4 linked regions of the Macaca fascicularis genome follow. The protein of the gene in region 1 purifies or fractionates together with the protein of each later gene. This does not show direct contact. Links are inferred from orthologs where the notes say so. Each region holds a gene or a part of one and is shown in the gene's direction. Other genes may lie near its edges. The genes, in order: CD9, IGSF8, ITGB1 and PTGFRN.

Region 1 (6,929 bases):
TATCCAAAGTACTATGGGATTTGAAAAGGTGGGGTGGGGAAGGGAATCTCTTTTGACTTCATAGACAAGGGAGCCGTGAAACCTTGAATGAGAGATGTGTTCAGGAGGAAAGTTAGTGGAGGCAGGGGACTTCCAGTCAAAGAGGTTGAGCATGGCTGGGCTTGGGCTTACGTGGGGAGCCCTGCAGACTTTTGGACCAGGATGGGCCATATCAGAGTAGTGTTTTTGGAAGGGCTACCTTGTCATGTTCAGCAGGAAGGGGGAAGGAAGAGAGATGCTGGAGGCAGGAACCCTATTGTTTTGTTTTGTTCTTGAGACTAGTCAAGTACGGTAGTGGGAAGCAGGGAAAAATAGAACAAGGACTTCCATCTGTAACTGACGTGAGCAATCCATTGAGATAACTCACTACTTTTAGACCAGCCAAGGGTCTAATATTTTTATTAATATTTTTTAATATTTTTATTTAAAAATATTTTTATTAAAAAAGCATTTAATACTTTTTAATATTTTTATTAAAAAATAAAAGTAGGCCAGGCGCGGTGGCTCAAGCCTGTAATCCCAGCACTTTGGGAGGCCGAGACGGGCGGATCACGAAGTCAGGAGATCGAGACCATCCTGGCGAACACGGTGAAACCCCGTCTCTACTAAAAAAATACAAAAAACTAGCCGGGTGAGGTGGCGGGCACCTGTAGTCCCAGCTACTCAGGAGGCTGAGGCAGGAGAATGGCGTAGACCCGGGAGGTGGAGCTTGCAGTGAGCTGAGATCCGGCTACTGCACTCCAGCCTGGGCAACAGAGCGAGACTCCGTCTCAAAAAAAATAAAAGTATCCAAGCAATAACAGCTACAGCCATAGAAATAGGAAGGGATCATTGTGAAAAATGTCAGAAAGATGCTGAAGGAAAAATGCTGGCTGTTGGTCTGTTAACTGGATGTGGGTGAGCATCAAAGGGACAGATACGCATCAAATTGGGATGTACCAGATGCAGGCACATAATAATATATCCCCTATATTATAATACAATAGCTGACACGTCCTCCAGATTTACTCTGTACTGGACATAGTGGCAAAGGGCTTAACGTGCAATATCTCATTTAAATTCTCACAATAACTTATGAGCTATAGAGACAAATGTGGAAACTCCGTACAGAGAGGTTTAGTAATTTGCCAAAACTCATACCTAAGTGAAGAGAAAAAGAAGATGGAAGCCTGAGGAAATAGTCAAGTCAGGAGTAGTAGTTTTTAAAATATTATTATCCTTTAGAGCATAGAGATTCAATTGAGGAGCAAAGCAGAGCTGAAGAACTGACCAAAGTATAAGACACAGGGAGAAACAGCCAGAGCGGGTTTCTGGAGGACGTGGGAGGAGATGGGAAGTGCCCAAAGGCCCCGAGAGAAGGCAGTGCTAGCAGCTGCCATCTGCCCAGTGATGTCCAAGCACGTGGCTGAGAGCTTAAAGAGAGAGAACAAGATGGAACACGTAACATTTGTTCGTGGAGAAAGGTGTGAAAATGCCGCCTCTGCCCCTCTCTTGTCTGCCCATCGTAGGTGATTAAGGAAGTTCAGGAGTTTTACAAGGACACCTACAACAAGCTGAAAACCAAGGATGAGCCCCAGCGGGAAACGCTGAAAGCCATCCACTATGCGGTATGTGGCCTTGGCAGAGACACCCTCCTGCGCTCACTCCGGACCGTGTCTGCACACAGCGGTGCTGACTGTACCAGACCAGCGCAAACATTCTAATCATCTTTTTAAAATGTGTTTCTCTCATCCCCATCCCTGCCTTCTCGCTGTAGTTGGACTGCTGTGGTTTGGCTGGGGGCGTGGAACAGTTTATCTCAGACATCTGCCCCAAGAAGGATGTCCTCGAAACCTTGACCATAAAGGTAAACTCAGAGCAAGATCCTGGTGCCCCTGCACCATTACTGTGGGCAAACCCTGCAAGCATAAAAGTGACAGCAGCCAAGTGCTGCTTCAGAAAGACCCGGTCTGCCTGTGAAAGGGTCCCAGGGCACCCATCTCTTTCTCCCCTACTTTGGGCCCTCTGTTTACTGAAGGGCAATAAAACAAAAGGCCGGGCGCGGTGGCTCAAGCCTGTAATCCCAGCACTTTGGGAGGCCGAGATGGGCGGATCACGAGGTCAGGAGATCGAGACCATCCTGGCTAACACGGTGAAACCCCGTCTCTACTAAGAAATACAAAAACTAGCTGGGCGAGGTGGCGGGCGCCTATAGTCCCAGCTACTCGGGAGGCTGAGGCCGGAGAATGGCGTGAACCCAGGAGGCGGAGCTTGCAGTGAGCTGAGATCCGGCCACTGCACTCCAGCCTGGGCTACAGAGCGAGACTCCGTCTCAAAAAAAATATATAAAAAATAAAAAATAAAATAAAACAAAGGCCAGACCAGGGGAACGACAAGTGCTCTGGCACCGCCCACTGCTGCCAGCCTGGAAGCTGTCGAGGGCAGGCGTGCTTCTGAGTCTTGGACTCCCGCTCTGACTTTGTCAGTGCCTCCTGTCTGTAAGCTGGAGTTAATGTCCAGCTCCAGAGTAGTAAAAAGTGACCTTACAACCGTATCAGAAATAGGCCCCCAAGCAGGGCCTGTCCCTCCCTCCTCCTTCCCTGATGTCCTGCCCAAATGTTTAGCATCCATTAGCATAGCCATCCCTTTGCTCCCCTTTCCATCCACCAGCCAGAACTTCTCTTATCCCTGAACACCCCTGTCCCCAGCCCACCCTCTGCCCACCAGTTCTCCCGGGTGAGACGGGTGCCATGGGAGGAAGGAGGTGCCCCGGGAGCAAGGATTGTGTGTGACCCAGGTCTTGGTTTGTCTCCCCAAGTCCTGTCCTGATGCCATCAAAGAGGTCTTCGACAATAAATTCCACATCATCGGCGCAGTGGGCATCGGCATTGCCGTGGTCATGGTGAGTGGCGGGACGTCGTCCCAGGAGGGGGACTGAGGAATTCACACTGATTCAGCCCATGCTCTGCCCAGATACTGCCGCAGTCTGTGCATTTGTCAGCTCACTTTGTCCTCGTGCCCTTAGTATTTCCATTTTACCACTAGGGAATGGAGAGACAGAGAGGCCGCCGTTCTGATCAAAGCCTCTCACCTCCTGAGTGGAGTATCTGAGGTTTCCCCTGGGTTTCTTCAGAGTCGACTCTCTTAGCCATTAAGGTTCAGGGCACATGGGCAGCAGTGCTGGCGCTGCTAGTCCTCAGAGCATGTCTCCTCATGCACCTGCTGTTCTTCTCCCTAAGAAAGGAGTTCACTAGAGGCTACCGGCATGGGAATTATTTCCTGAAGAGCCTCTGAAAATGGGCAGCCAGAAGGAGGTCTCCTGCTAATCAGCCCCTAGAAACCAACAACGGCCAACCAGGTTCCTTGGGGTCATGTCCTCTCTCCCCGTGAGGGAAAGCCCCAGACGGAACATGGTCCTCGCTGGGATGGCCTTGGCTCCCTGAGTCTTCCCCCACCCCCGCCCGCTTCTGCCCCCTTGCCAGACTGCCCCCAAAGAGAGAATCGCCTCCTTTCTCCGGCGTCTAAGAAAGGCATGAAGTACCTTGCAGCAAAAGATACAATAATACTTTTTTCTTTCTTTTCTTTCTTTTCTTTTTTTCTTTTTTTGAGACGAAGTTTCACTCTTGTCACCCCGGCTGGAATGCAATGGTGCGATCTCGACTCACTGCAACCTCCACCTCCCAGGTTCAAGCAATTCTCCAGCCCCAGCCTCAGCCTCCTGAGCACCTGGGACTACAGACCTGTGCGACCACACCCAGCTAATTATTTTTAGTAAAGATGGGGTTTCACCATGTTGGTCAGGCTGGTCTTGACCTCCTGATTTCAGGTAATCTGCCCACCTTGGCCTCCCAAAGTGCTGGGATTACAGGCGTGAGCCACTGTACCCAGCCAAGATATCACAATACCTTTTAAAATAGAATATTAGGCCGGACGCGGTGGCTCATGCCTGTAATCCCAGCACTTTGGGAGGCCCAGGCGGGCAGATCACAAGGTCAGGAGATTGAGACCATCCTGGCTAACATGGTGAAACCCTGTCTCTACTAAAAATACAAAAAATTAGCTGGGCGTGATGGCAGGCACCTGTAGTCCCAGCTACTCGGTAGGCTGAGGCAGGAGAATGGCGTAAACCCGGGAGGGCGAGCTTGCAGTGAGCCGAGATCGCGCCACTGCACTCCAGCCTGGGGGACAAAGCGAGACTCCGTCTCAAAAATAAAAAATAAAAATAAGGCCAGGCGCAGTGGCTCACGCCTGTAATCCCAGCACTTTGGGAGGCCGAGACGGGCGGATCACGAGGTCAGGAGATCGAGACCATCCTGGATAACACGGTGAAACCCCGTCTCTACTAAAAATACAAAAATTAGCCGGGCGCGGTGGTGGGCGCCTGCAGTCCCAGCTACACGGGAGGCTGAGGCAGGAGAATGGCGTGAACCCGGGAGGCGGAGCTTGCAGTGAGTGGAGATTGCACCACTGCACTCCAGCCTGGGCGACAGAGCGAGACTCCATCTCAAAAAAATAAATAAATAAAATAATAATAATAATAATAAAATAAAATATTAACACTTTGGGAGGCCGAGGCAGGCAGATCGCATCACTGCATTCTAGCCTAAGCAACAGAACAAGACTCCGTCTCAAAAAAAAAAAAAGGAATATTAAATACACACAAAGACAAGCGCAAAAGTACTAACCTGTATGAACTGTAGGAAAACCTGGAATTTGAGCATTTAATTTGGCTCTGAGCTTCCTTGTCCCACCCTGAAAGTTCCCAAGGAAGCTGCTTGTGCACCTGACTGCCAACCCCCCAGATTCCTCACGTCCCGCGTCCTTCTCGTTATCTGGCCTGCATCTCTCCTGCTTCGGTACCTTCTGACTCGTTTGGCCTCCTGGATGCCATTCTCCTTGTCATTTGTCTTGGACTGGGTGACCCGTGTCTCTCCCTTTCCCTCAGCCTGCCTTCACATCAAACCACCCTGATCCTCATGTTTCTTCCTATCTCCCAGATATTTGGCATGATCTTCAGTATGATCCTGTGCTGTGCTATCCGCAGGAACCGCGAGATGGTCTAGAGTCAGCTTACATCCCTGAGCAGGAAAGTTTACCCATGAAGATTGTTGGGATTTGTTTGTTGGTTGTTTGGTTTTTGTTTTTGATTTTGTTTTTTTTTTGCCACTAATTTTAGTATTCATTCTGCACTTCTAGATAAAAGCTAAAGTTATTTTATGTTTGTCTTTTAATGCTTCATTCAATATTGACATTTGTAGTTGAGCGGGGGGTTTGGTTTGCTTTGGTTTATATTTTTTCAGTTGTTTGTTTTTGCTTGTTATATTAAGCAGAAATCCTGCAATGAAAGGTACTATATTTGCTAGACTCTAGACAAGATATTGTACATAAAGAATTTTTTTGTCTTTAAATAGATACAAATGTCTATCGACTTTAATCAAGTTGTAACTTATATTGACGACAATTTGATACATAATAAAAAATTATGACAATGTCCTGGACTGGTTTTGGTTTCCTTTAATTATTTTGAGAGCTATTTGGTTTGCAAATGTCTTTCAACTGCTATTACCTCTACCTGCATTTATATGAGAAGTAGTTTGGGAAATTGCTCACCCCAGTTTGTTTACTAATGAAGACATCTAGATGTGGAAAGATTAAGGGATTCTGATCCAGAGTCACACCGGTGTTAACAGAGGAGTCAGCACCAGCAGCTGGTGCCCAGACGCTCATTCAGCAGTGTGACACGTATATCTTGGGGACATGACAGTACACGTCACACCATGGTGGCAGAACTTTGTTTTATTCACTGCCTAGCCCCCAGTTTCTGGTGCATAGTAGTGCTCAGTATTTTTTTATCAGTGAATATTTGTTGGTTGAATGAATAAATGAGTGTGTACCCATCAGGGTTTCATCAGAGAAGCAGAACCACTAAGAGGTACTTGTTTGAAGAGATTTGTTGTGGGAATTTGACCTTAACACAGTCACTGGCACTGGGGCTGCTTAAGCAGGCTCTGCAGACAACTGGGAAGGACAGACGGACGTAACGTAAGGGAGGACAGGCCCGAGCGGGAGCCCTTGAAGGCAGACACATCCGTCTGTGTCAGTTCTTTTTTTTTTTTGAGACAGGGTCTCGCTCTGTTGCCCAGGCTGGAATGTCATGGCCCAATCTCAGCTCCCTGTAGCCTCCCAAGTAGCTGGGACTACAGGCATGAGCCATCACACCCGGTTAATGTTTGTATTTTTTGTAGAGAAGGGTTTTGCCATGTTGCCCAGCCTAGTCTTGAACTGCTGGTCTCAAGCTATCCACCCGCCTTGGCCTCTCAAAGTGCTGGGATTACAGGTGTGAGCCACCGCACCCGGCCCTGTGTTAGTACCTGCCTCTGCTGAGGTGAGCCAGCAGAGAAGTCACAATTCGTATGAGCTGTGAAATGACCGCTGCTTCACTTCCCACCTCCAAACCTTCCACAAGTTTCTCCTCTGTGCTCTACTCTTAACCGGAAACACACAGGAAGAGAATTCTGGGAAGTGTGGTTCAGCTTACCCAGGTGGACAGATCACAAAGCCACCGCTGCATGGGAGGTGTGGTCCGTGCTCAGACTGCACTGTCGTGGGCCATTCGGAGGCAAGCAGGCAATAATGGCAGAGTGGGATGAACAGGAGAAAGGTGAAGTGCAGAGGCATAAGAAACCAATTTTTATTTTCCATTCCTTAATTCCATTTGGGTTCCTCCTTAACACTACAAAAAGAAAAACAGGAAAGAAGGATCAAAATGTCCCTGAATGCCATTACATTCAAACATCAGAACACCAAAGTTGATAGCAGTGTTATTCACAATAGCCAAAAGGTGCCAACTCAAATGTCCATCAACAGATAAATGGACAAACAATACATGGCATAGCCATATGATAGAATAG
Region 2 (7,601 bases), on another chromosome or scaffold:
AAGCAGCTGAGGGGTCCGTCAGGTCTGGGCTGTGGGCTCCCCCTGCTGGCCGCCGCTGGAACCCGGAGTCTGGGGAGGGGCCTGCTGAAGACACTGCTCTCTCCTTGGGCCTTATCCCCTTTGGAGGGAGACACCAACCCAGCTCTCAACGCCAGCCTGCCCCAGCTCCTTCCCCGTCCCAGGCCGCGGGGTAAGAGAGGATATCTCACCTCCCTGAAGACTTCTCTCATCATGCTTATACCGGGGGTTGGTTATGACTTGTTTATGAAATGTATCCCTAACATATAGAACTATGTTCCCTGAGGGCAGGGGAGCAGGCCTGCCTTGTTTACCACGGCATCTCCAGTACCCAGTACCAGGCCTGGCCCAATCAATATTTGTTGAATGACTGAGTTTACAGGGTGGAGAGGCTTGGGAGGAGGGACAGTGAGGTGTAGGAAGATTTGGGGCTTTGGGGATAGACAAACCTGGGCTCAAGTCACCCCTTAGCCACTTAAAAACTGTGTGGCCTTGGGCAAGATACTTCACCTGTCTAACCTCAAGTTTCTCTTCTGTTAAATGACACTGCCTTGCAAAATATGCTATAAGGACTAGGACTAATATCCAAAAGGGCCTTCTTGTGTAAGCATTTCATAAATGACATGTCATTATTACAATTGGTAACGTCTTTCATCCCTCAAGCATCATGAAGTCATTCAATCCACTCGATGATTAAATCCATTATAAAGGGAAAGACGTGTTCTTCCAAAAGCTTCCCTATGAGTTCAGTTTTCACATAGCTCAGTATGCCTGTGGATGGATTTAGATGATGAGGCTCCGGAGCAACCAGGCTGTGGATATTTCAAAGCGGGAATAAAAGGCACCCTACTACCCTGTTCATGGGCCAGTGCTGGCAGTCCTGGGAGGTGAGGGCTGGACCTCTGATCTCCCTTCAAGGCCCCAAACATTTGGCCTCAGTTTCTCTGGCTTCTCCAGGGTTCCTCAATGTGGCTTCTACTGGCAACCCCATGAGCGTCTTCTCAGAGTCAGGCACTCTGCCACGCTTGAGGAATACAATGTCAAGGAAGGTCTGGTCTGGCCTGTGCCACTTACCCTCTCTGGGCCTCAGTTTCCTCTTCTGTAAAGGGGGGGTGAGTGAGTGGGAGGGAAGAGGGGAGAGGGAGGGTGTTGGAGGGTAGAGGGTGGTAAATGGGCTCTGGGATCACCTCCCACTGACGGCCACTCTGACAGCCTTGGCTTTGCAAACCTGGCCATCTCTTCTCCCCATTTTGGTCTCATCCTTCCTGCCCGTCCCCACTCCCCATCTTTACAGTTCAGGAAGAGACAGAACACCTGGGAAGGGTGCCTCCTCCATTCTCCCACCTCCAGGGCAAGCCCCACTCTTCCCAGAACAATGTTCATCTCTTCCCACTGTCACTGAACATAGACACTCCTTCACCTAAACGCCAGGTCTAAACTAGGTCTAAATTAAGCCTCTTAGGAAGCAGTTCAAATAATAATTCAAAAACTAAAACAAAATAATCCTTCGTTATCTCCCATTTCGTGTTAGTTTCCTGTGCCAAACACTTTATGTACATTACCTATCATCCCCTTTGGGTGGTGTGATAACCTCAATTCAATTTGCAGAGGAGAAAACTGAAGTTGAAGGAGGTTAAACAACTGGGCTAGGATCACCCAACCCAGAAATGACGTCACATGGACGGCCGCCTCTCCCAATCCATTTTTCTTTTGGTTTTGCCCTCTGAGGGGGTGAAAAACAGGTCTCCAGTGACCTTGTGGATCCTGGAAGCGCCCTTCAGCTCAAACCCTTCGCCTTTAGGAACTCCTGGGTTCTGCCAACCCCTACTTCAACAGGGTTTGCAGCGAGGACTATGGCTCAGAGAAAATAACTGAATTCTAAATGCGTGGCCACAGCCAATCCCAGGGCCCCTGCACCCAATTCTCCAGGAAAGGCTGGCAGGTGCGGGGTGGGGTGCGCTCTGTACGAGGGTGGGTGGGAATTTCGATGCGCCGAGGTGCAATTAGCTCACTCTTGCCGGGGCCTCGGGCGGAGCCAGGGCCAGGGGCGGGGCGAGGCCGGGGTCCATGGCGGAGTCAGGTTTGGAGGCTGACGTTAGCCCTGGGGGGACTGGGAAGGGGTGGGGCTTGGGACTGGGGCGGGGCCGGGTCCCGGGGCGGAGCCAAGATTGTAGTCCTACTGTAGTCCTGGTGGGGCGGGGCGAGGGAGGGGCCGGAACTGGGGCTGGGCCAGGGAGGGGCCGGAACTGGGGCTGGGCCGAGACCCGGGGCGGAGCCAGGGCTGGAGTCTTGCGGGACGGGACGGGACGGGGCGGGGAGGGGCGGGGAGGGGCGGGGAGGGGCGGGGAGGGGCGGGGAGGGGCGGGACCGGGGCGGGGCTGGGACTCGGTGCCAAGCAAAGGTGAGTTTCGAGGGTCAGGGCGGGGCCGGGGCCAAGTGCGGAGCAAAGAACTGAGTCTGGCGGGGTGGGGCGGGCCGGGCCAGGGCTGGGTCCGGGGCGGGGCGGGCTTAGACGGGGCGGAGGAAGGGGCGGTGCCGGGGCGGGCTGGGGCTAGAATGGTCTCAGAACTGCCGAGGGCTGGAGGGAAAGCAACGGGAGGGGCGGAGGGAGGGGATTCGGCAGCTCCAGCTCAGCTCGCTCGGCGCACCCACGCCTCGCTGCCCAGCTTCCTGCCCCCCACCTGGGCATGCGCCCCTCACCCCACCGGCCCCCCAGAACCCGCGCCATCCCCCGGAGCCTCCCCAGAGCTGGCCGCGCAGGATGGGCGCCCTCAGGCCCACGCTGCTGCCGCCGTCGCCGCCGCTGCTGCTGCTGCTGCTAATGCTAGGTAAGTCAGGCCCCCGTTCCGGTTCCCGGCCCCGCCGGGCAGGTGCCTGCCACCCAGCACCTCCCGAGCATTTCGGGGCTCCTCACATCCTCCTCCGTCAGGGGTACCTCCAGCCTCCCCGGGGTCGGCGGCCAGCTGCGCTTTGTGGCTGCCCGCCGAGCCAGTCTTGGGAAGAGTGCAGGCTCCCCAGCTCTAAGTCAGGGAGTGGGGCACAGGGAGGACCCACTAAAGTGCTGCCCCAGGCACTGCTTGGCCTCCTGGGGCAGGCCCCACTTCTCAGCTAGCATACCCACGTCCTGGGGTCGCTGCACCAAATGCTGCGACTCCTTTCTGCCCCACACTCAGCTCCAGGCCTGGCCTTGGGTGCCCGCCCTGCGTGGGCAGTGCCTGCCCAGCTTCAAAATTGCCCTAGAGTTGGCTGGAGGCCCAGAGGCCAGTTCTGCCCACGATCTTTGAAGTAAGTCTCTCCCAATTGCGCTCCACACACTTCATCAACTGGGGGCAGTTCTCTCTCTCACCCCCATCTCCACCCCAGGTTGGGTCCCTCTTTGCCCTTCTTCCTCTCTCCCAAATGGCACTTGGTTCTGCAGCCACCCATCAGTTTTCACACCCGCTTAGTTCCAGCTTCCTTGCCTCAGGAGAAACCAGGTTCCATGGAGACTGATCCTGGGATCTCAAAGCACCTTGTGCCTGCTGTGGTGGGTGTTCATGGTGGGTTGTTCTGGGCTAATCTTGCATGGATGCCTGGGGGTAATGACAGTGGAATTGTTTTTGGCCTGAACTGGAAGGCTGCCTGTAGGAGGTGGTCTGGGGAAGAGTATGGCGTGGAGAAGTGAAACTGCCAGTACAGATGTTGATGAGGCTGAAGCCCTTGAAATGAGAGTGAAGCGTGGAGGTGGGGATGGTGACTTCAGAGCTGCTGTTGTCAAGGCAGAGGCTGAAGGTAGCCCCAGCTGCCTGTTTCTAGACCAGGGCTCCACAGTGGCACCAAGCAAAGCCTTCCCCTGCTGCAGGTCCCTGGGCCCTGCAGGGCTAGGATGAGTCCTCTCCTTGGTCCCTGGGCAGGTGGCAGGAGGATGTACAGAGAGGAAGGCTCTGTGGGACCTGGGTTGCCTAGCACTTGCTGTGTTTTCCCCAGTGGGCAGCATGGAGCAGGGAGGAGCCCAGGGAGGTGGGGAAGTGCTGGCCTGTGGTTGAAAAAGGAGCACGCAGACGTCTGAGCACCCACTGCCTGTGGGCACTTACATTCATTTCACAAGTGAGGAAATTGAAGTAACTTGCCCCAGAGAGCACATTTAGTGAGTATTAGGGCTAGGATTTGAACACAGATCTGATTCCAAAGCAGGCCTCTTTGCTCTCCCTTTCCTCGCTGCAACTAATACAGAGGAGGTGAGAGAGAGCTGTGTGGCAACTGATTTCCTAAGGCTGTGGAGGTAACTTTCCCATGGGGATCTCCAAGCATCAGCAGTTGTGGAGCCAGGAAGATGGGAGGGGGCCTTCTGAGCAGTCTGCCCCGAGGCAGTCAGGGAAGGTGTCAGCTTGGCCGTCTCCACCATCACCCTGATTATGAAACTTGCCTGGCCTGGGGCAGGGCTCTCCTGAGTCACATGCGCACTCATGCATGGTCAGAGCTGGAGCTCTTAGTTCTCCTCCAGTGTGGAAACCGAGGCCTAGGACAGAAAGAGACTGGATCCCATGCCACACAGCTGGGCATGGGGATGGTGCTGGAATCTCACTTCCTGATTGACAGCCTGTGCCCTTAACAACAACAGACCATGAGTTCTCCCTGTGACTCAGCCAGAGGATAAAGGAAGGGGCTAGGAGCCCAGCAGCAGGGGTGGGGAAGTTCAGAGGAGCCATTCTAGAGAAGCTGGAGGGTAGAGTTTGACCACAGACTCCTGGGCATTTTCCTCTAGCTTCTGCAGAAAGTCCATGGTATCCCCCTGGGAGGCCTAAAAGTGACACTCTGGTTGGTGAGGTCAGTCCCTTCAGGCCTGGCCTTGGAGTTTCCCCATTTTCCTCCCTGGTTTTGCCCCTCTGGAGGAGGGTGTGGAAGCCATCTAGGGACAGCATGATCTTGGCTAAGATATTATACTTTTCCTGCCTTACCTTTCTTATCTGTAAAATGGGGAGGGGGGGAGGGGTAGCCTAGCCCTCTTTACATTCTGAGGTTCTGCGATTTTATCTAGTGGGAGCTATGGAAGGAGAGAAGGGAGGAGCTAAGCCCTCTAAGTCTGCCAGGAGTATCTGCTGGGGTAGAGTTGGGCATAGGGGTGGAGTAGGGTGAAGAAGAGAGGTTTGACCTTTCTGAAGGGAGAGAGATGAGAAGGGGCAGCTTGGGATTTAATGCCTCCCTACAGAAAGAAAGCCATATATGTAAATGAATGCATACCATATGCAAATGAAGGCTTTGTTAAGGAACTGGGGCAGGCGCCTTGTGTGTCTGCTGGGCTAGCCAGGAAGGTTGGCAGGCACTGGAGGAGGGGATCTTCTGCCCCAGTGGCGAGAGCAGAGCCTGGACCTTGCCCCAGAAGCCCCAGCTGCCTGGGCAGCCCTGTGGGGTGAGAGAAGCAGTGAGCTCATGGCGCAGCTGGAGGGGGGAGGGCATTGTGTGGTGAGAACTGACTGGGCCTGTGCCCTTTCCAGCTAGGGTCACTGGCTCCATTGTCTGGTCCAGGTGACACAGCTGAGCCAACTAGCACTTCTGAGCAAGACTGCCAGCTCCCCTCAAGCAAAGGGGAGGGACATGTAGTCTCAGCATCCCCCAGCCAGAAGGCTCCCCTGGCCAGGCACTGAGGAAGGAATGGCAGACATGGAGGTGGGTGAGTGGCAGGGACAGATCAAGGTTTAGCTGGAACCAAAGCCTGGTTAGGTCAGGAATCAGATGTACTAGGCGCTCTGCTTCTAGTCCACCAGAAATGGGATGCATCTAGGTGCCAAGGCAATCCTGGGCCCGTGCCACCTTCTTGAGATCCAGGTGTCTTATATCACAGCATCCCTTTCCTATTCTCAGAACAGGGTCCAAGCTGTGGACCATCTTCCCCAGGTGTCCTTTCCTTTTGTAGGCAGAGATCAAGAATGGTGCTTGTGGTGGCAGAGGGCATGGAATGGGGAACCAGGCATCTCCAACTTCTTCTGCCTTTCCCTACAGGAATGGGATGCTGGGCCCGGGAGGTGCTGGTCCCTGAGGGGCCCTTGTACCGCGTGACTGGAACAGCTGTCTCCATCTCCTGCAACGTGACCGGCTACGAGGGACCTGCCCAGCAGAACTTCGAGTGGTTCCTGTATAGGCCTGAGGCCCCAGATACTGCACTGGGCATTGTCAGTACCAAGGATACCCAGTTCTCCTATGCTATCTTCAAGTCCCGAGTGGTGGCGGGTGAGGTGCAGGTGCAGCGCCTACAAGGTGATGCTGTGGTGCTCAAGATTGCCCGCCTGCAGGCCCAGGATGCTGGCATTTATGAGTGCCACACCCCCTCCACTGATACCCGCTACCTGGGCAGCTACAGCGGCAAGGTGGAGCTGAGAGGTACTGGGCCCTGGGATGGGGTGGGGCCACACACCCTCTCAAGGCAGAAAGTCAAAGCCACAAGTGACCTATCTAACTGCCCCTTAGGTTTTGTAGCCAAGGAACTTGAGGCCCAAAGAGGTTAAGTGACTTGCACAAAGTCGCCCAATAACTCAGTGACTGATATGGGACTCAAACCCAGATTGCCTCACCCAGGCCAGTGCTTGTCTTATCATATCAAGACCCCTCCTGGGAGAAGAAGGGTCCTTAAGTTGTCCATTCCCCTTTCCATTCCCAAGAACGAGGAAGACTATTGGGTTGAATAGACTCTACTCCTGGACAGTACAGGACCCAGATCTGGCAAAGAGAGTAGAGTTAGGGAAGGAGTGAGACCGTGTGACATTCTCACTAAGTTTCTTTGTGTTCTGAGAAGGAAGACAGAACCACTTTTCTCAGTATTTCAAAGAGGGGTCAGTCTCGAACATAGAACCAACATGGGCTGGTTCTATGAAATTCAACAAGTATTTATTGAGTGCCTGTGCTGTGCCCAGTACTGCACTTGGCACCACTGAGTTACGGAGGAAATAATACAACATGCAATCTTTGCCCTCTGAGAGCTCACAGTCTATTTAGGGAGATAGGCTGTACACAGGAAACAGTAACAAGGGCTGCCAGCTCCCAGCCCTCCCTCACTCCAGCTGTTCTCTCCAGTTCTTCCAGATGCCCTCCAGGTGTCTGCTGCCCCCCCAGGGCCCCGAGGCCGCCAGGCCCCAACCTCACCCCCACGCCTGATGGTGCATGAGGGGCAGGAGCTGGCACTGGGCTGCCTGGCGAGGACAAGCACACAGCAGCACACACACCTGGCTGTGTCCTTTGGGCGATCTGTGCCTGAGGCACCAGTTGGGCGAGCAACTCTGCAGGAAGTGGTGGGAATCCGGTCAGACTTGGCCGTGGAGGCCGGAGCTCCCTATGCTGAGCGACTGGCTGCAGGGGAGCTTCGTCTGGGCAAGGAAGGGACCGATCGGTACCGCATGGTAGTAGGGGGTGCCCAGGCAGGGGACGCAGGCACCTACCACTGCACTGCCGCTGAGTGGATTCAGGATCCTGATGGCAGCTGGGCCCAGATCGCAGAGAAAAGGGCTGTCCTGGCCCACGTGGACGTGCAGACACTGTGTAAGTACCACTTATACATCCCACTGTGGGAGCTGGGAGGGACAGTATCCTGGTGGGCGCTGTGGCCGCAGGGG
Region 3 (6,929 bases), on another chromosome or scaffold:
AATGATACCCTTTCTTCCACTTGGTCAAATCGGCTACTGATGGTTGTGCATGTGTCACATAATTCTTGTGCCATGGTTTTCAGCTCCATCGGGTCATTTAAGGTCTTCTCTATGCTGTTTATTCTGGTTAGCCATTCGTCTAATCTTTTTTCAAAGTTTTTAGCGTCTTTGCGATGAGTTCAAACATCCTCCTTTAGCCCGGAGAAGTTTGTTATTACCGATCATTTGTAGTCTTCTCTCAACTTGTCAAAATCATTCTCCGTCCAGGTTTGTTGCGTTGCTGTTGAGGAGCTGTGTCCCTTTGGAGGAGAAGAGGTGTTTGATTTTAGAATTTTCAGCGTTTCTGCTCTGGTTTCTCCCCATCTTTGTGGTTTTATCTACTGTGGGTGTCTTTGATGATGGTGACGTACAAATGGGGTTGTGGTGTGGTTGTCCTTTTTGTTTGTTAGTTTTCCTTCTAACAGTCGGGACCCTCAGCTGCAGATGATGGTGACATACAAATGAGGTTTTGGTGTGGATGTCCTCTCTGTTTGTTAGTTTTCCTTCTTTGTTAGTTTTCCTTCTAACAGTCAGGACCCTCAGCTGCAGGTCTGTTAGAGTTTGCGGGAAGTCCACTCCAGATCCTGTTTGCCTGGGTGTCACCTGTGGAGGCTGCAGAACAGCAAATATTGCAGAACGGAAAATGTTGCTGCCTGATCCTTCCTCTGGAAGCTTCATCTCAGAGGGGCACCTGGCTGTATGAGGTGTCAGTCGGTCCCTACTGGGAGATGTCTCCCAGTTAGGCTACTTGGGGATCAGGGACCCACTTGAGCTGGCAGTCTGTCCGTTCTCAGATCTCAAGCTCCATGCTGGGAGAACCACTATTCTCTTCAAAGCTGTCAGACAGGGACGTTTAAGTTTGCAGAAGTTTCTGCTCCCTTTTGTTCAGCTCTGCCCTGCCTCCAGAGGTGGAGTATACAGAGGCAGGCAGGCTTCTTTGAGCCACGTTCAAGCTTCCCGGCCACTTTCTTTGCCTAGTCAAGCCTCAGCAATGGTGGACGCCCCTCCCCCAGCCTCACTGCCGCCTTGCAGTTTGATCTCACTGCTGTGCTAGCAGTGAGTGAGGCTCCGTGGGCGTGGGACCCTCCAAGCCAGGCGCGGGATATAATCTCCTGGTGTGCCATTTGCTAAGATTATTGGAAAAGCACAGTATTAGGGTGGGAGTGTCCTGATTTTCCAGGTACTGTCACAGCTTCCCTTGGCTAGGAAAGGGAATTCCCCAACCCCTTGCACTTCCCTGGTGAGGCGATGCCCTACCCTCGTTCGACTCACAGTCTGTGGGCTGCACCCACTGTCCGACAAGCCCCAATGAGATGAACCCAGTACCTCAGTTGGAAATGCAGAAATCACCTATCTTCTGCATTGCTCATGCTGGGAGCTGTAGACTGGAGCTCTTCCTATTCGGCCATCTTGGAACCTCTTAAATTATTTTTGTTTTGTGTGATTGCAATTTTGGAATGTTTCTTCAGGTGCAACGAAGGGCGTGTTGGTAGACATTGTGAATGCAGCACAGATGAAGTTAACAGTGAAGACATGGACGCTTACTGCAGAAAAGAAAACAGTTCAGAAATCTGCAGTAACAATGGAGAGTGCGTTTGTGGACAGTGTGTTTGTAGGAAGAGGGATAATACAAATGAAATTTATTCTGGCAAATTCTGCGAGTGTGATAATTTCAACTGTGATAGATCCAATGGCTTAATTTGTGGAGGTAAGTAAAGGACCTGAAGTGGTTGTAAGACGTGATCTCATCTAATGCCACAAAAAATCTAGAGTTTACTTGGTGCATAAGTAGAAGAGGGGTAGCTCGAGGGTCAGTTCTGCCCCAGGTATACTTTCTCACACGTTGTTGCTTATTTTACTTTTCAGTCAATACTGTGATTGTATATTTTTACCATTAGTTTGAGAAATGATATGCTTAATTGCAGGAAATGGTGTTTGCAAGTGTCGTGTGTGTGAGTGCAACCCCAACTACACTGGCAGTGCATGTGACTGTTCTTTGGATACTAGTACTTGCGAAGCCAGCAACGGACAGATCTGTAATGGCCGGGGCATCTGCGAATGTGGTGTCTGTAAGTGTACAGATCCGAAGTTCCAAGGGCAAACATGTGAGATGTGTCAGACCTGCCTTGGTGTCTGTGCTGAGCATAAGTAAGTATTTCCTAATTGCTTGAAATAGTTGATACTTCCTCTTGGCTCTCCAAAGCCTGTGTTGTTACTAGAACCGGAACAGTGCCAGTATTAGAATATACTATAAATAAAATGCCTGCCACGTGGAAGCCTACTCTTTAATTCCTAAAAGTTTTTTCTCAACAGCTAGTATGTATTACATGGTATGAAGTGTGTCATGTGAGAGTTGTACTATTATTTTGATCTGAATGTGGTAGATAATTGAATTTACATGGTAACCTTTATTTTGGCAATTAAGATTTAATTTAGTTTGTCATTACCAATTTCTTAATTACTATCTTTTGACAAAACTAAGCCAAATTAAAGATTTTTCCTCTTGAAGGATTATTATACTAGTAACATATTTAAATTATTTAAATATTATGATTTTGGCCGAGGACAGTGGCTCACACCTATAATCCCAGCACTTTGGAAGGCCGAGGCAGGTGGATCACTTAAGGTCAGGAGTTTGAGACCAGTCTGGCCAATGTGGTGAAACCCCATCTCTACTAAAAATACAAAAATTAGCCAGATATGGTGGTGTGTGCCTATAATCTCAGCTACTTGGGAGGCTGAGGCATGAGAATTGCTTGAACCCGGGAGGCAGAGGTTATAGTGAGCCAAGGTTGTGCACTGCCTGGACGACAGAGCAAGACTCCATGGCAAAAAAAAATTATTATGATTTTATGTTACATATTTAATATGTGATAGGGCTAATTTATTTTACTATCTTTTATTAATAGCGTTTTAATTTGAACTGTAATAAATCTTTTATTATGGAAATTAGCATCTTTTTACATAATTTTTCTATCCACAAATGTAATGCATCTCTTCATTTATTCAGATCCTCCTTCATAGCTGTTTGTTCAATTTGGTCACAAGAGTTTAGCATGGGAAATATGTTTAAGCAAATATTTATTGAAATAATAAAATTTAAATATAATAATATGGTTTTTTTTTAACAGAGAATGTGTTCAGTGCAGAGCCTTCAATAAAGGAGAAAAGAAAGACACATGCGCACAGGAATGTTCCTATTTTAACATTACCAAGGTAGAAAGTCGGGACAAATTACCCCAGCCAGTCCAACCTGATCCTGTGTCCCATTGTAAGGAGAAGGATGTTGACGACTGTTGGTTCTATTTTACATATTCAGTGAATGGGAACAATGAGGTCATGGTTCATGTTGTGGAGAATCCAGGTAGAAATGCGATGATTGCAAACATTCTTTTCATATCTTGTATGTCTTGTTTCTGCTTATTTAGGCCTAACATCCAGAAACAGTCTCCAGCTGGAATATTTTAGGTCAAGTTGGGAAATTTTTCATCTTTCAAAGCTTAAGATATTACCTAATTAACTGTATAAGAAATAAGGAAAACAGAGTTCCACTTTTAAGTTTTCTAAGTGGAGAGTTTGAAGATTAAATGCAGTGATTTATATAAGACACTTAGAACGATGCCTGACACCAAGTGCGTAGTAAGAGTTTTTTTTTTATGATTGATGATTTTAAAATTAGAGCTTGATTTAAGTTTGAATACTAGGAAAGATAATTTGTTAAAGGATATTAATATAAAGTGTTGATTTTGTTCAACTTCTCTGAAGGTGAAACTTTTTTTTTTTTTAATCTTAGTTTTCCTGGTAGCCTTTTTGTAGATTCTTTAGAATTTTCTACCTTAGTGTACATGTTTTTGTGTAAACATAAGCTTTCATTTCTCTTGGGTAAATAGTAAAAATGGCATTTTGGAGCATATGGTAAGCATATGTTTAACTTTGTAAGAAGCTGCCAGGTTCTTAGAGTCCTGTAGTGTTTTGAATTATCATCTAGGTGTTTTGCAAATATTGTCTCCCAGCCTGTGCCTCCTTATCGTTTCATTTTTTTAAGTGTCTTTTGAACACCACAGGTTTTAATTTTGATTAAGTACAGTTTACCAAGTTTTTCTTTTGTGGCTCTTATTTTTACATTGTCTTTCAGAACTCTGCCTAACCCAAGATTTTAAGGATTTTTCTCCTGTGTTTTTTTCTAGAAGTTTTATAGTTTCTGGGGTTTCACATTTAGATCTGTAACTCATCTTTAGTTATTCTTAGTGTGTGACAGAAGGCTCAGTTTTTTTCATATCAGTGTCCACTTGTTCTAGGGGCATTTGTTGAAAAAAGACTGTCCTTTCTCCACCTTTGTTGAAAATCAGGTGACCTTACATGTGTAGGCCTGTTTCTGACTCTATTCTGTTCCATGTATCTGAGTGTCTATCTGTTAGCTATACCACGTGGTCTTGTAGCTTTCTTTATAGCTAGCCCTGAAAGCAGGTAATAAGAGTCTTCCAACTTTATTATTTTACAAAAGTGTTTTTGAGACACTTCCCCTAGTTCACTGCCTTCCACGTTAATTTTAAAATTGGCTTGCTGATTGCTACAGAAGTTCTGCCAGGAGTTTGAGTGGGATACTATTGAGTTTATAGATCAAACTGGGAAGAATTGACATCTTAACAGTATTAGGTTTTGTAACTCCTGCACATGGAGTATCTCTCCATTTATTCAGTCTGAAAGATTTCTTTTTATCAGTGTTTAGTAATTCTTAACATGCAAATTTTGCATATATTTTGTTAGACTTATATGTAAGTTTTTCATGCTTTTTCATTCTATAGTAAATATTACTGTTTAAAAATTTCTGTTTTCAATATGTGGAAATAAATTATATATATAGAAAAGTACATGATTTTTGTTCATTGATTATGTATCCTGCAAGCTTGTAAACTCACTTGTTAGTTCTAAAAGCTATTTTATAGATTCTTTGGGATAGTGTGCATTCACTCTCTTGGGTGTTTATTCCTGTATTTTTTTTTAATAAGATACTGCCCAGCTTTGTGGTACTTATTATAACCTTCTTATTTTCCAGAGTGTCCCACTGGTCCAGACATCATTCCAATTGTAGCTGGTGTGGTTGCTGGAATTGTTCTTATTGGCCTTGCATTACTGCTGATATGGAAGCTTTTAATGATAATTCATGACAGAAGGGAGTTTGCTAAATTTGAAAAGGAGAAAATGAATGCCAAATGGGACACAGTAAGTTACAAAACATGTAAAAAGCAAAGTGGCTCATAAAGTAAATGTAATACTCCTAAGACTTATATATTAACTGTCAGGGTGATCATTAAAGTCATTTTTAAGTGTTTTATTCCCCCAAAAGTTACTCAAGGAATTTGCATTTAGTGAAAAACAGAAAGCATCCTAAATATATCCCATTGAAACAAAACATTGATTATAAGCATGTATATTCTGGTTACTGTGGCCAGTATTTTTATTTCTTTAATAGTTTCGATCCTAAATCTGCCTTTTCATCTAATGTGGGGCAGAATCCTAAATAATGTTATCTGTGTAGCAAGCAATTCAATGGAAAGCTGTTTCTTTCTTTAAAAAAAGAAACAAAAAAACAACCTTCAATGAAAGCCAGATTCAAAAGGTTGTATACCAAGTTTGTCCAACTTGCAGCTTGTGGGCCAGGACATGCAGACCAGAACAGCTTTGAATGTGGCCCCAACACAAATTTGTAAACTTTCTTAGAAATTGTAAGTTGTTTTTTTTTTTTTTTTTTTTTTGGTGACTTTTTTTTAAGCTTATCGGCTATCGTTAGTGTATTTTATGTGTGGCCCAAGACAATCATTCTTCTTCCAATGTGGCCCAGGGAAGCCAAAAGATTGGACACCCCTGCTGTATACAATATGATTCCATTTAGAAGATATTCTGGAAAAGCAAAACTGTAGGGGCAAAAATCAGTGGTTGCTAGGGGCTGGAACGGAGGAAAGGGTTGACCACAACAGGGCGTAAGGAATCTTCCTGGGGATGATCTTGATTGTGGGTAGATTTATGTATTTGAAAACTCACAGAACTATGTACTTTAAAAAGATGTGTGTTCCTCTATGAAAATTGTATCTCAGTAAACCTTAGCTTATAAAAATCTTAAAAGCCCTAAGGGACTGAAAGTTTATGTTAGCATTTTTAGAGCTTTGAAATAAGGAGTCAGAGGGTGGGGTAACCAAATGTTGGCCTTTGTGTATCCATCTTTTGATACAAGAAAGCAATGACAATCTTCAGTATTTTTAAATTGTAAATGAATTGTAGTTAGTTGCACTTTACTACAATTTCCTTGGGTTTTTTAAAATTACCAGTTTTTTAAATTATAAATTGCAGAAGGGTAGAAATAGAAAAAAAATTCCCTTTATAGTGTTTGAACACTATAAATGTCCTTTTTTTTTCTGATGAAATCATTAGAAACTATTTCTTTTACTTTAGCAAGAAAATCCGATTTACAAGAGTCCTATTAATAATTTCAAGAATCCAAACTACGGACGTAAAGCTGGTCTCTAAATTGCCGTTCGTATTTTCCTTCACTTTCTGCCTTTGCATGTGAACTTTTATCTTTTTTACTGCACTGTGTGTCCTTATCACTATTGCTGGTCTTTTTTTAAGTCTGGCTTTAAATATCGCTATTGTGGCTTTTCTTTTTGTGTGTTAACTTCGCGTTTTTCTTAGAAAGACTGTAAAATAAGTCATGTGATATAGAACAGCAGCTATGTTGTAGTGAAAAGAGAATGTGCTTTGCAATTAGTTAGACATTAGGTCAAATCCCACCTCTTCCACTTAGTAAGCAGAACAGCATTGAGCCACTTCACTTCTCATCTATCACAGGGAGTCAGTACTCTGTATTGTATGGGGTGGTTGTATTTGGCAAA
Region 4 (7,591 bases), on another chromosome or scaffold:
ACTCTTGTAAGGTTTTAGGGGTATCACCTGCAGAAAGACATGTGTAACCAGAAGACCATAAGGTCTGACTGCTATGACCAGTGCCCCTTGGGGGCACTATGGTTGGAGAAAAGAAACCTATGTCAGCACTCTCCTTGGGGGTGGGCGTGAATCAATTAGAATTGCTGGAGAGTGAGTCTTCCTGCCCCAGGCAAGCCTATAGACTAAGACAGGAGAACAACTGGTTGGGGCAAAAGCCTTAGCTGTATAGAAGGTTACTCACTCTGGTAAATAAATATCTTTCATAGTAAAAGCATCGTCAGATTCCAGAGTCATGAATTAACAAATTGTGCCAGTCTGCTGTGAGTGCTTCTTCCTTTATCCATTGGTAGTCAGGAATGTGCAAAGGGTGTGGTGGTTATAACCAACAGTCTAGAGTTATCAATTTATGCTTATTTTTTGCTTAAAAAAAATGGCTCTTTGGTTAACTCCCATGACAGTTAACTGCCAGCCACCAGCAGGCTACCCACTTCAGTTCTCATTCTACCTGCCTTACCTAGACAATTTTATTTATTCTCATCATTTCAACGGTTAACCACTGTTATTCCCATGATTGTAAGGTGCACCATTAATTTAATAACACCCGGGCGTGGGTGAGGCAAGAAGGATCTCTATCACACTAAATACACAACATGTATTGTAAGCTTATCCCTACACTCCACAGCTAAAGACCTACCAATTTTTCAAGACTCAATGCATAGTCATGACAGCCTCCTCCTGGACTGGCCGCTCCCTTGTGGTGTCACGACTCTACCTTGCACATGCTATCACAATGCACAAACTGTAGGCTCCTCAAGGGCAGGAACTGTCTGCTTCATCCCTGTACCCCCAGGATTTAGCCCAGTGTGTGCCATTAATTCACTCTATAAATATACATTAGGACCTACCATGTGCTAGGCACAGTCCCTGTCACGCATTGTTTATTAAACAAAAGAGTTTTTAAAACATCTACTCTGCCATAAGGTGGGATACAAGGTGAAAATGTGACAGCTTCTTAGGCCCATGCATTATTAGACAGAGATGGGGGCAGTGTATATGTTTCGCTAAAATGAATGTGACCAAGTGCCACAATGTATGGTTCAGACATTAAGTTTTCTAGGGGGTTAAGAAAAGGAAAGATGAAGGATGAGCTGAAATCTGAGCTGCTGAAGGTGCCAGGCCTCACATTTCTCTGAAGCTCCACTATCTTCCAAGGCCTAACATTAGGCTTGCATTCAAGGTTGATTGAATGAAATTGGAAAACTTCCCTGAAAAATTCTAGGGAAGAATTGGGATGGGAAAGATAAAGGAATTACACTGTGTATGAACAGAACCAGGAAAGGCTTGGTGGCAGAAAAAAATTTTAAAAAAATTATTGTATAAAATGTACATAACACAAAATTTACCATTTAAAAATTACAACTTTTTTTTTAGAGACAGTGTCTCACAATGTTGCCCAAGTGGTCTCAAACTTCTAGCCTCAAAAACAAAGAAAAAAGAAAAACAAGAAAACGTTTTGGCCCAGTGGCTCAGACCTGTAATCCTAGTCCTTTGGGAGGCTGAGGCAGGAAAATCGCTTGAGCCCAGGAGTTCAAGACCCGCCTGGCCAACATAGGGAGACTCCAGTGTCTACAAAAAAATAGAAACAATTAGCTAGAGTGTGGTGGCACACATATGTGGTCCCAGCTATTGAGAGGTGGAGGTGGGAGGATTGCTTGAGCCTGGGATGTCAAGGCGGCAGTGATTCCTGATCGCAGCACTGCACTTCAGCCTGGGTGACAGATCGAGATACTGTCTCAAAAATGAAATAAGAAAAAAGACAAAACAAATAAAAACTCCTGGTTTCAAGCAACACCATCCTTGCCCCCGCTCCCGGCCTCCCTCTACCCCCGCCCCCGCCCCCAACTTCAGTCTTCTGAGTAGCTAGCATTACAGGTACCAGTTACCATGCCTAGCAATTTTAAACATTTCTAAATGTACCATTCAGTGCCATTAAGTACAATAACGTTGCACCACCAGGAATGAATTTTTAAGACTCTTTCCAAAGGGTTCATACCTGGCTAATCACACATTTGATAGTGGAAATAAGAAACATTTGTTGGTTGAAACACGGATGCATGAGAGTAAAAGTAGTGTTCTTCCCCTGTGTGAGTGTGGGCAGTTTCCGCATAAGCATCTGTGATCCGTTTTCCACATGTGAATGAAAGCCCAGTGAGGGGCAGTGGGCACCAGTCCTGCTCCTTGCGTGTCTGAATCATGCTTGCTAAGTTTCAAGCAAGGAATGCTCCCTTTCTCCCAATACCCGTGGGGCCTTTTGTATTCAAATCAAAAGCACAAAACTCTATTGTGGGGGGAAGTATGAGTCTTTATTGGCAACCAGTGGTGTCCACTTAGAGCAAGAAATATGAAGTCTTAACAGTACATTCTATATGAAGTACTATAGCTATTAATACACTTGGGTTTCGTTTGTTTTTTAAATGGGTGTCTTTGTGTGGAGCTGTTCTAATCAGTGCCACAGGCGCTGAGGAGAGGGAGGGTGCTGGGTAAGGAGGAGGCAGGCCCACCCAAATCACCGGGGAGTGGGCAGTCAGGACAGCGGGGTTCTGATTTTGCCCCTTCCCTGTGAATCCTTGGGCACCTCACCGAAACACTTAAGGCCTCTGTATGGTAGACGTTGGAATCCGTGGCCTTCAAAAGTCCTTTCAGCTCCTTCGCTCCCATCTGCGTAATTTTTGGCATAGGCCAAGCGGCTGGTTGCTGGGGTGTTTAGCTCAGGACGAGAGGCCGAACGAGCGGGCAGTTGATTGAGGATAGACTAGACACGCGTGGGTGACTCCAGCGTGATGGAACGCGGGGTGTCCCGGGATAGGGCTAAAGCGAAGGGATTTCCAGACGAGTCTTTCCCAGGCCAACTTTTAAAGGTCGGAGGAAAGTTTCTCGTGGGGTGGGGGCCTAGAGGGGAAGGCAGGGTGGGCTCCGACGCCTCCTCGCCTTTAAGCGGGTGGCCCCTGCGCTTCCTCCGTTACCTGGAGCGGGGAGGGGCTTGGGAAAGTTTGTGTTTGTTGCTGGCAAAGCGCCGGATGGGAGGCGCGGGCGGGCGGGCGCTGCGGTTCTTCCCTTCTGCTTTCGGGAAGCGGTCGGGGCTGCACACTCGGATCGGCGGGGCCGGCTCCCGGGCCCGGCCGGCTGGAGGAGGGAGGGAAGGAGGCGGGAGGGAGCGAGCGGAGCCAGGGGCGCACGTACGCCCCAGCGCTGGGATTTATCGGCTCGCGAGGAGAGCGGAGCAGGCGCGCGGCCCAGGCGGAGGAGCGCCGACTCTGGAGCAGCCGGAGCTGGAGGAGGAGGAGGAGGAGAGGCGGCGGGGAAGGAGGAGGAGGGGGAGAGTCGCTCCCGCCGGGCGAGCATGGGGCGCCTGGCGCCGAGGCCGCTGCTGCTGGCGCTCCTGTCGCTGGGTGAGTGTGCGCGGGGCTCAGCTGGGCGCAGGGGGTCTGGCAGGGCCCTGGAGGGCTCGGCGGGGCGCGGCTGCAGCGCGCGGCCTGGGTCACTGAGGGTGCCCGGGCTGCTCCCGGGAAACCCGGCCGGGGTGCGCGGGCTGCTTGGCCCGGCGGGGAGCGGCCGCGGGGCCGCCCGGAGCCTGGCGCGAATCAGCCCGGGCCCCGCGCGCAGGGTGCAAGTGGCGGCTCCGCCAGGCCGAGCCTCGCCCCCAACATGTGCCGGGGGGAGTGGCCCGGGCCGGCTTTCCCCAGCCCTCCCTACCTGTTGGCCGCCGGGAGCCCGGCTCACCTTGAACTCCCGGCCCGGAAGGTGCTGCGGTCCCGGCCCGGGTCCCCCGCTCGAGAGCGGAAATGTGAGCCTTTGATATGCCCCGCCATAGCCGCCGCCGGCCGGGTCTCTCTTCGCCCAGCCCGCGCGGAGTTGCCTTTCCAGGGAAGCGAGAGAATCCTCCAACTTCCTTCCACGAAGGTCACAGGGTGGCCCGGAGCGTTACAATGGAAATCGGCGGGCGAGTCCTGCCGTCATTTTCGTCGTGGCTAGATTGTCTGCCTCAGTCTTTTCTTTTAGCTTTTCTTGAAGCTGCCTAGCTGCGTATTTATACACAAAGACCTAAGAGCCTGGCTTCTCCAACTTTTTCTACCTGTTACTTTTCCTCCCTTACTGTCCCCTCATCTTCCACCCTCCGGAAACCCTCGGTGCCCCGTGAGGTTTTGGCCCAGCGCCCTCCCCCCACCCAAGGAATCTTTTGTGGGTTTTTTCCCTCTCCATTTTCCATTCACTCCATACACAGACACCATCTTCACGTAGATCCACATGGTGATCCTAGCCAGCCACGGAAATATGTTTATTAAGTGCCCACCATGGTACCCCAGGGCCGACTCTTAAATGCTTTGATATTCTTGGATCCTTGTGGTCAGTGTCAACCAGGACAAGATGATTCTTATGACCCGGCCTGGGGTTCTCTTCCAAGCCCCTAGAGAAGGCAGATCTGAGTCTTTTACAGAGCGCATGGTGTGCGGTGTCCGTCCCATCCAGGTCCCAGCTGCACACAGCGCAAATGACTACTCTGCACTTATGGTCGGAGGGTCCCAGAGAAGGCCTTCTATAGCCACTCCCCTACTGGGGACACCGGGGGCCCACACTGCTCTAAGCCCCGTGACTCCTGCTGCTGGTAAACCAGCCTTGCTAGCTTCTGTGTTTTCTTCCTTCACCTTGAAGAGATTTTCTGAACTGACTCCCTCAGAGAGCTCGTCCAGCCACATTGCTTCAGCTTCAGCCCATGTGCAGAAAGCTTCCAGATCTTCCACTTAGTTTTATGGCATCTTTTCTATAGTCCCTGATCCTAGTGCTTTGTTTTTATTTTTGAAACAAAGCCTCACTCTGTCACCCAGTCTGGAGTTCAGTAGCACAACCATAGCTCACTGAAGCCTCAAACTCCTGGGCTCAATTGACTCTCCCACCTGAGCCTCCTGAAGTGCTGGGATTACAGGCATGCTCCACCACACCCGGTGGTAGTGCTTTTAATCTTTACTTTTCACTGCGGGACCCTTGTAAGTTGTATGTTAGTGGTGCACTGCTGTTATAGTCCACACACAATTTTTATTGACTGTGTGTGTCTAGGTCAAGCAGGGCCGTGGCCTGGGTTTGCACAGATTGTGCACTGTGCAACTTCGGGAGCTGCTGTTCACTTTGTAGTCTGTGTGAATGACTCCCCCTAGAGTTGTGCAGTTCTTTGAACAACCTGGGTACCAGTTATGAGGGTGGGATGAGGTAGAACTTTGAAAACTTTGAAAACAATGCCCTTGAGTAATCATAATGAGGGGGGAAGAGGGAAGGGGGCAAAGAGAGACTGACAAAAGCAAAATAGAAGTGGGGAAAGCACAGCTTGGGGAAATCTTGATTGTACTCCAGCATATCCTGTCCTGGCTGGATGCCTCCTATGAATTACACTGGGAATTTCTGTGGTGTCACTAGCCGGTGCCTTTTTACCTGACAGTTCTCTGAACCATTGATGACCCTCCTGATAACTCTGCTGCCACAGAATCTCACTTGGCGTGACTTCAGCCTGACCTCTGGGAAGGTCTCCCTGTGTTACACTACTCTAGCACTGTACTGATCCCTGAAATGTAATACATTGATAAGCAAGATCATCTTTCCTCCTAGGGAGTAACCTGAGTATAATCTTGGTATCACTGCTCTTTTTGACCTCCACATTCACATAGTCTCTCAATTCTTGCGTCTCCCCATAGCACAGACTCCAGCTTCTTCCTTTCCTTCCTGTTTCTACGGCTACTGTCTTAGCCCAGGTCCCAATTGTTTCCCACACAATTGGTGTCTTCGTGGTTGGTTATTTCCTCCAGCCTCCCTTTTAAGCTCATCCTTTTCCTAAATGATCATTTTTGGGGCTCCCACCTGTTCTCACTGGGTCCTTATGACTTTCCTCCAAGGAGATGTTGCCCCTAGTGTCCTCCCCTCCAGTCTTCTCTGGCTCACACACTTTGTTCTATCTAACCTGTTTGCTCTCCTTTATGTAGACTATATTAAACTTTCCGGCCCCTTCTACTTCTCACCTCTTGCCTGTGTATTAGTATTTCCTTTTTCCCCTAAAACTCACTTTCTCCATGAAGCCTTTCTAAACCCACCTACCATGATCCCACCAGAACCCACCCAGCCACATAGGGCAGGTTTCACATCCATTGCCTGTGTCTGATCTGTCTTGCCCGTCCACTCAGTGTGGCATTTCTTGAGTGGCCACTCAAGAAATGTGCCACATTCACAGAGAGAGTGCCACTCTGTGTGCAACTGTGTGTTCAATACTGGGAGTCCCAGACAAATGACCAAGACACAGCATCTGCCTGAGCGGCTGGTGGGTGTGAGTGGACAGAGAATAAAATAGCTAACCACAGGCCTGAATGAAATACCTGACGTGGAAACCAAGTGTGGGAAACAAGGAAGGGGATGATTAATTTTGACTTGGGGGTTGGGGCTGGTTTTGCTGAAGAGGTGACATTTGAGCTGAGCCTTGAGGATAATTAGAATTTTGAAAGAAAGGATAGAAGAGCATTCTAGGCTCTGGGGAAAAGCCTAAAGTGTGGATGAGTGAAAGTACATGGCTCATTCAGAAATGGCACGTAAGTTCTATGTAACTGGGAGGAGGAGGAAATGGGGGTGCAATTATTTGGGGGAGGAGGAAATAATGGGGGAGGAAAGGTGGGTTTGAGATAGATCCTGTAGGTTTTGCGTGCTGTGCTGAGGAGTCTGGACTGGGAGGGGTAGATTTCTTGGCGCTCTGGGTGCTGCCAGGCAGTCTGTGCCCTGTCATCAGAGCATATATTTACTTCATTGTATGTAATTGTCTGTTCCCTACTCCAATTGTTTCCCCTGGGGGCAGGGGCCACATTGGTTTTGTTCACTACAATGTCCCTATTACTGATAGGATATATAACCCATACTGGGTGTTTGTTACATATTGGCTGACTGAATACTTATAAACATATATGTCGTTTTATCTGTGGGAATGGGTAGCCATTAAAAGTTTGTAGGGCGAGATTAGGAGGACAGGGTGATGTGTTGAGGAGGATAAACCCTCAACTAGTGCAACATAAATTGGAGAGTGGAAGGCACAGAGATTGTAGGGTGGGATTAACACATTTTCTTCATTTTTGTCTTTATTTTGGTAAATCTATTGAGATACTTTTTTAAGTGTCAAAAGCATCACATCAGTATTTTAGAATTCAAATAATATAAAAGGACTTTGTATTAATCAGGTAGGCTAAACTGCTCTAACAAACTCGAAGCATAGTGGTTCAGACAATAGATGTGTCTTATATAACAATGTGAGGGAGATGCTTCAGAGGGAAGGGTTGGGTGGGAACCCTGCTTTCCACAGTCATTCTGGCTCCCCAGCTGGTGGCAGTTCCGCTGTCTTCAACTCACAGTTTCTAAGATCACTTTGGTAGTCATCTTCACCATTCCAGCCCCTACAAAGGAGGAAAAGAGTGTGGAGTAGAATATATGGAGGCTTTGTGGGTCAGACTTGAAAGTGGCACACGTCATTTCTGCACACGTTCTATTGGAG

Evidence for each region.
Region 2: the proteins of CD9 (region 1) and IGSF8 purify together in Homo sapiens (affinity purification with mass spectrometry; 5 studies listed by BioGRID and IntAct, counting the BioPlex papers as one, with this or other methods). This does not show direct contact. The link is inferred for Macaca fascicularis from reciprocal best matches to the Homo sapiens genes CD9 and IGSF8.
Region 3: the proteins of CD9 (region 1) and ITGB1 purify together in Homo sapiens (co-immunoprecipitation; 5 studies listed by BioGRID and IntAct, with this or other methods). This does not show direct contact. The link is inferred for Macaca fascicularis from reciprocal best matches to the Homo sapiens genes CD9 and ITGB1.
Region 4: the proteins of CD9 (region 1) and PTGFRN purify together in Homo sapiens (co-immunoprecipitation; 8 studies listed by BioGRID and IntAct, with this or other methods). This does not show direct contact. The link is inferred for Macaca fascicularis from reciprocal best matches to the Homo sapiens genes CD9 and PTGFRN.

The regions. Positions count from the first base shown.
Region 1 is NC_088385.1:7,134,859-7,141,787, forward strand, and holds the end of CD9 (CD9 antigen), read left to right. Parts: intron 1-1,547; coding exon 1,548-1,646; intron 1,647-1,795; coding exon 1,796-1,885; intron 1,886-2,836; coding exon 2,837-2,920; intron 2,921-5,015; coding exon 5,016-5,081; 3' UTR 5,082-5,511; downstream 5,512-6,929. UniProt on the Homo sapiens protein: Integral membrane protein associated with integrins, which regulates different processes, such as sperm-egg fusion, platelet activation and aggregation, and cell adhesion.
Region 2 is NC_088375.1:100,957,652-100,965,252, forward strand, and holds the start of IGSF8 (immunoglobulin superfamily member 8), read left to right. Parts: upstream 1-2,631; 5' UTR 2,632-2,779; coding exon 2,780-2,846; intron 2,847-5,997; coding exon 5,998-6,375; intron 6,376-6,801; exon of another isoform or gene 6,802-7,065; coding exon 7,066-7,527; exon of another isoform or gene 7,528-7,601. UniProt on the Homo sapiens protein: Member of the immunoglobulin superfamily (IgSF) that links tetraspanin-enriched microdomains to the actin cytoskeleton and plays several important roles in innate and adaptive immunity.
Region 3 is NC_088383.1:33,658,817-33,665,745, reverse strand, and holds part of ITGB1 (integrin beta-1), read left to right. Parts: intron 1-1,508; coding exon 1,509-1,747; intron 1,748-1,964; coding exon 1,965-2,187; intron 2,188-3,170; coding exon 3,171-3,403; exon of another isoform or gene 3,404-3,671; intron 3,672-5,095; coding exon 5,096-5,262; intron 5,263-6,489; coding exon 6,490-6,564; 3' UTR 6,565-6,570; intron 6,571-6,929.
Region 4 is NC_088375.1:117,486,708-117,494,298, reverse strand, and holds the start of PTGFRN (prostaglandin F2 receptor negative regulator), read left to right. Parts: upstream 1-3,124; 5' UTR 3,125-3,421; coding exon 3,422-3,470; intron 3,471-3,801; exon of another isoform or gene 3,802-3,964; intron 3,965-7,591. UniProt on the Homo sapiens protein: Inhibits the binding of prostaglandin F2-alpha (PGF2-alpha) to its specific FP receptor, by decreasing the receptor number rather than the affinity constant. Functional coupling with the prostaglandin F2-alpha receptor seems to occur.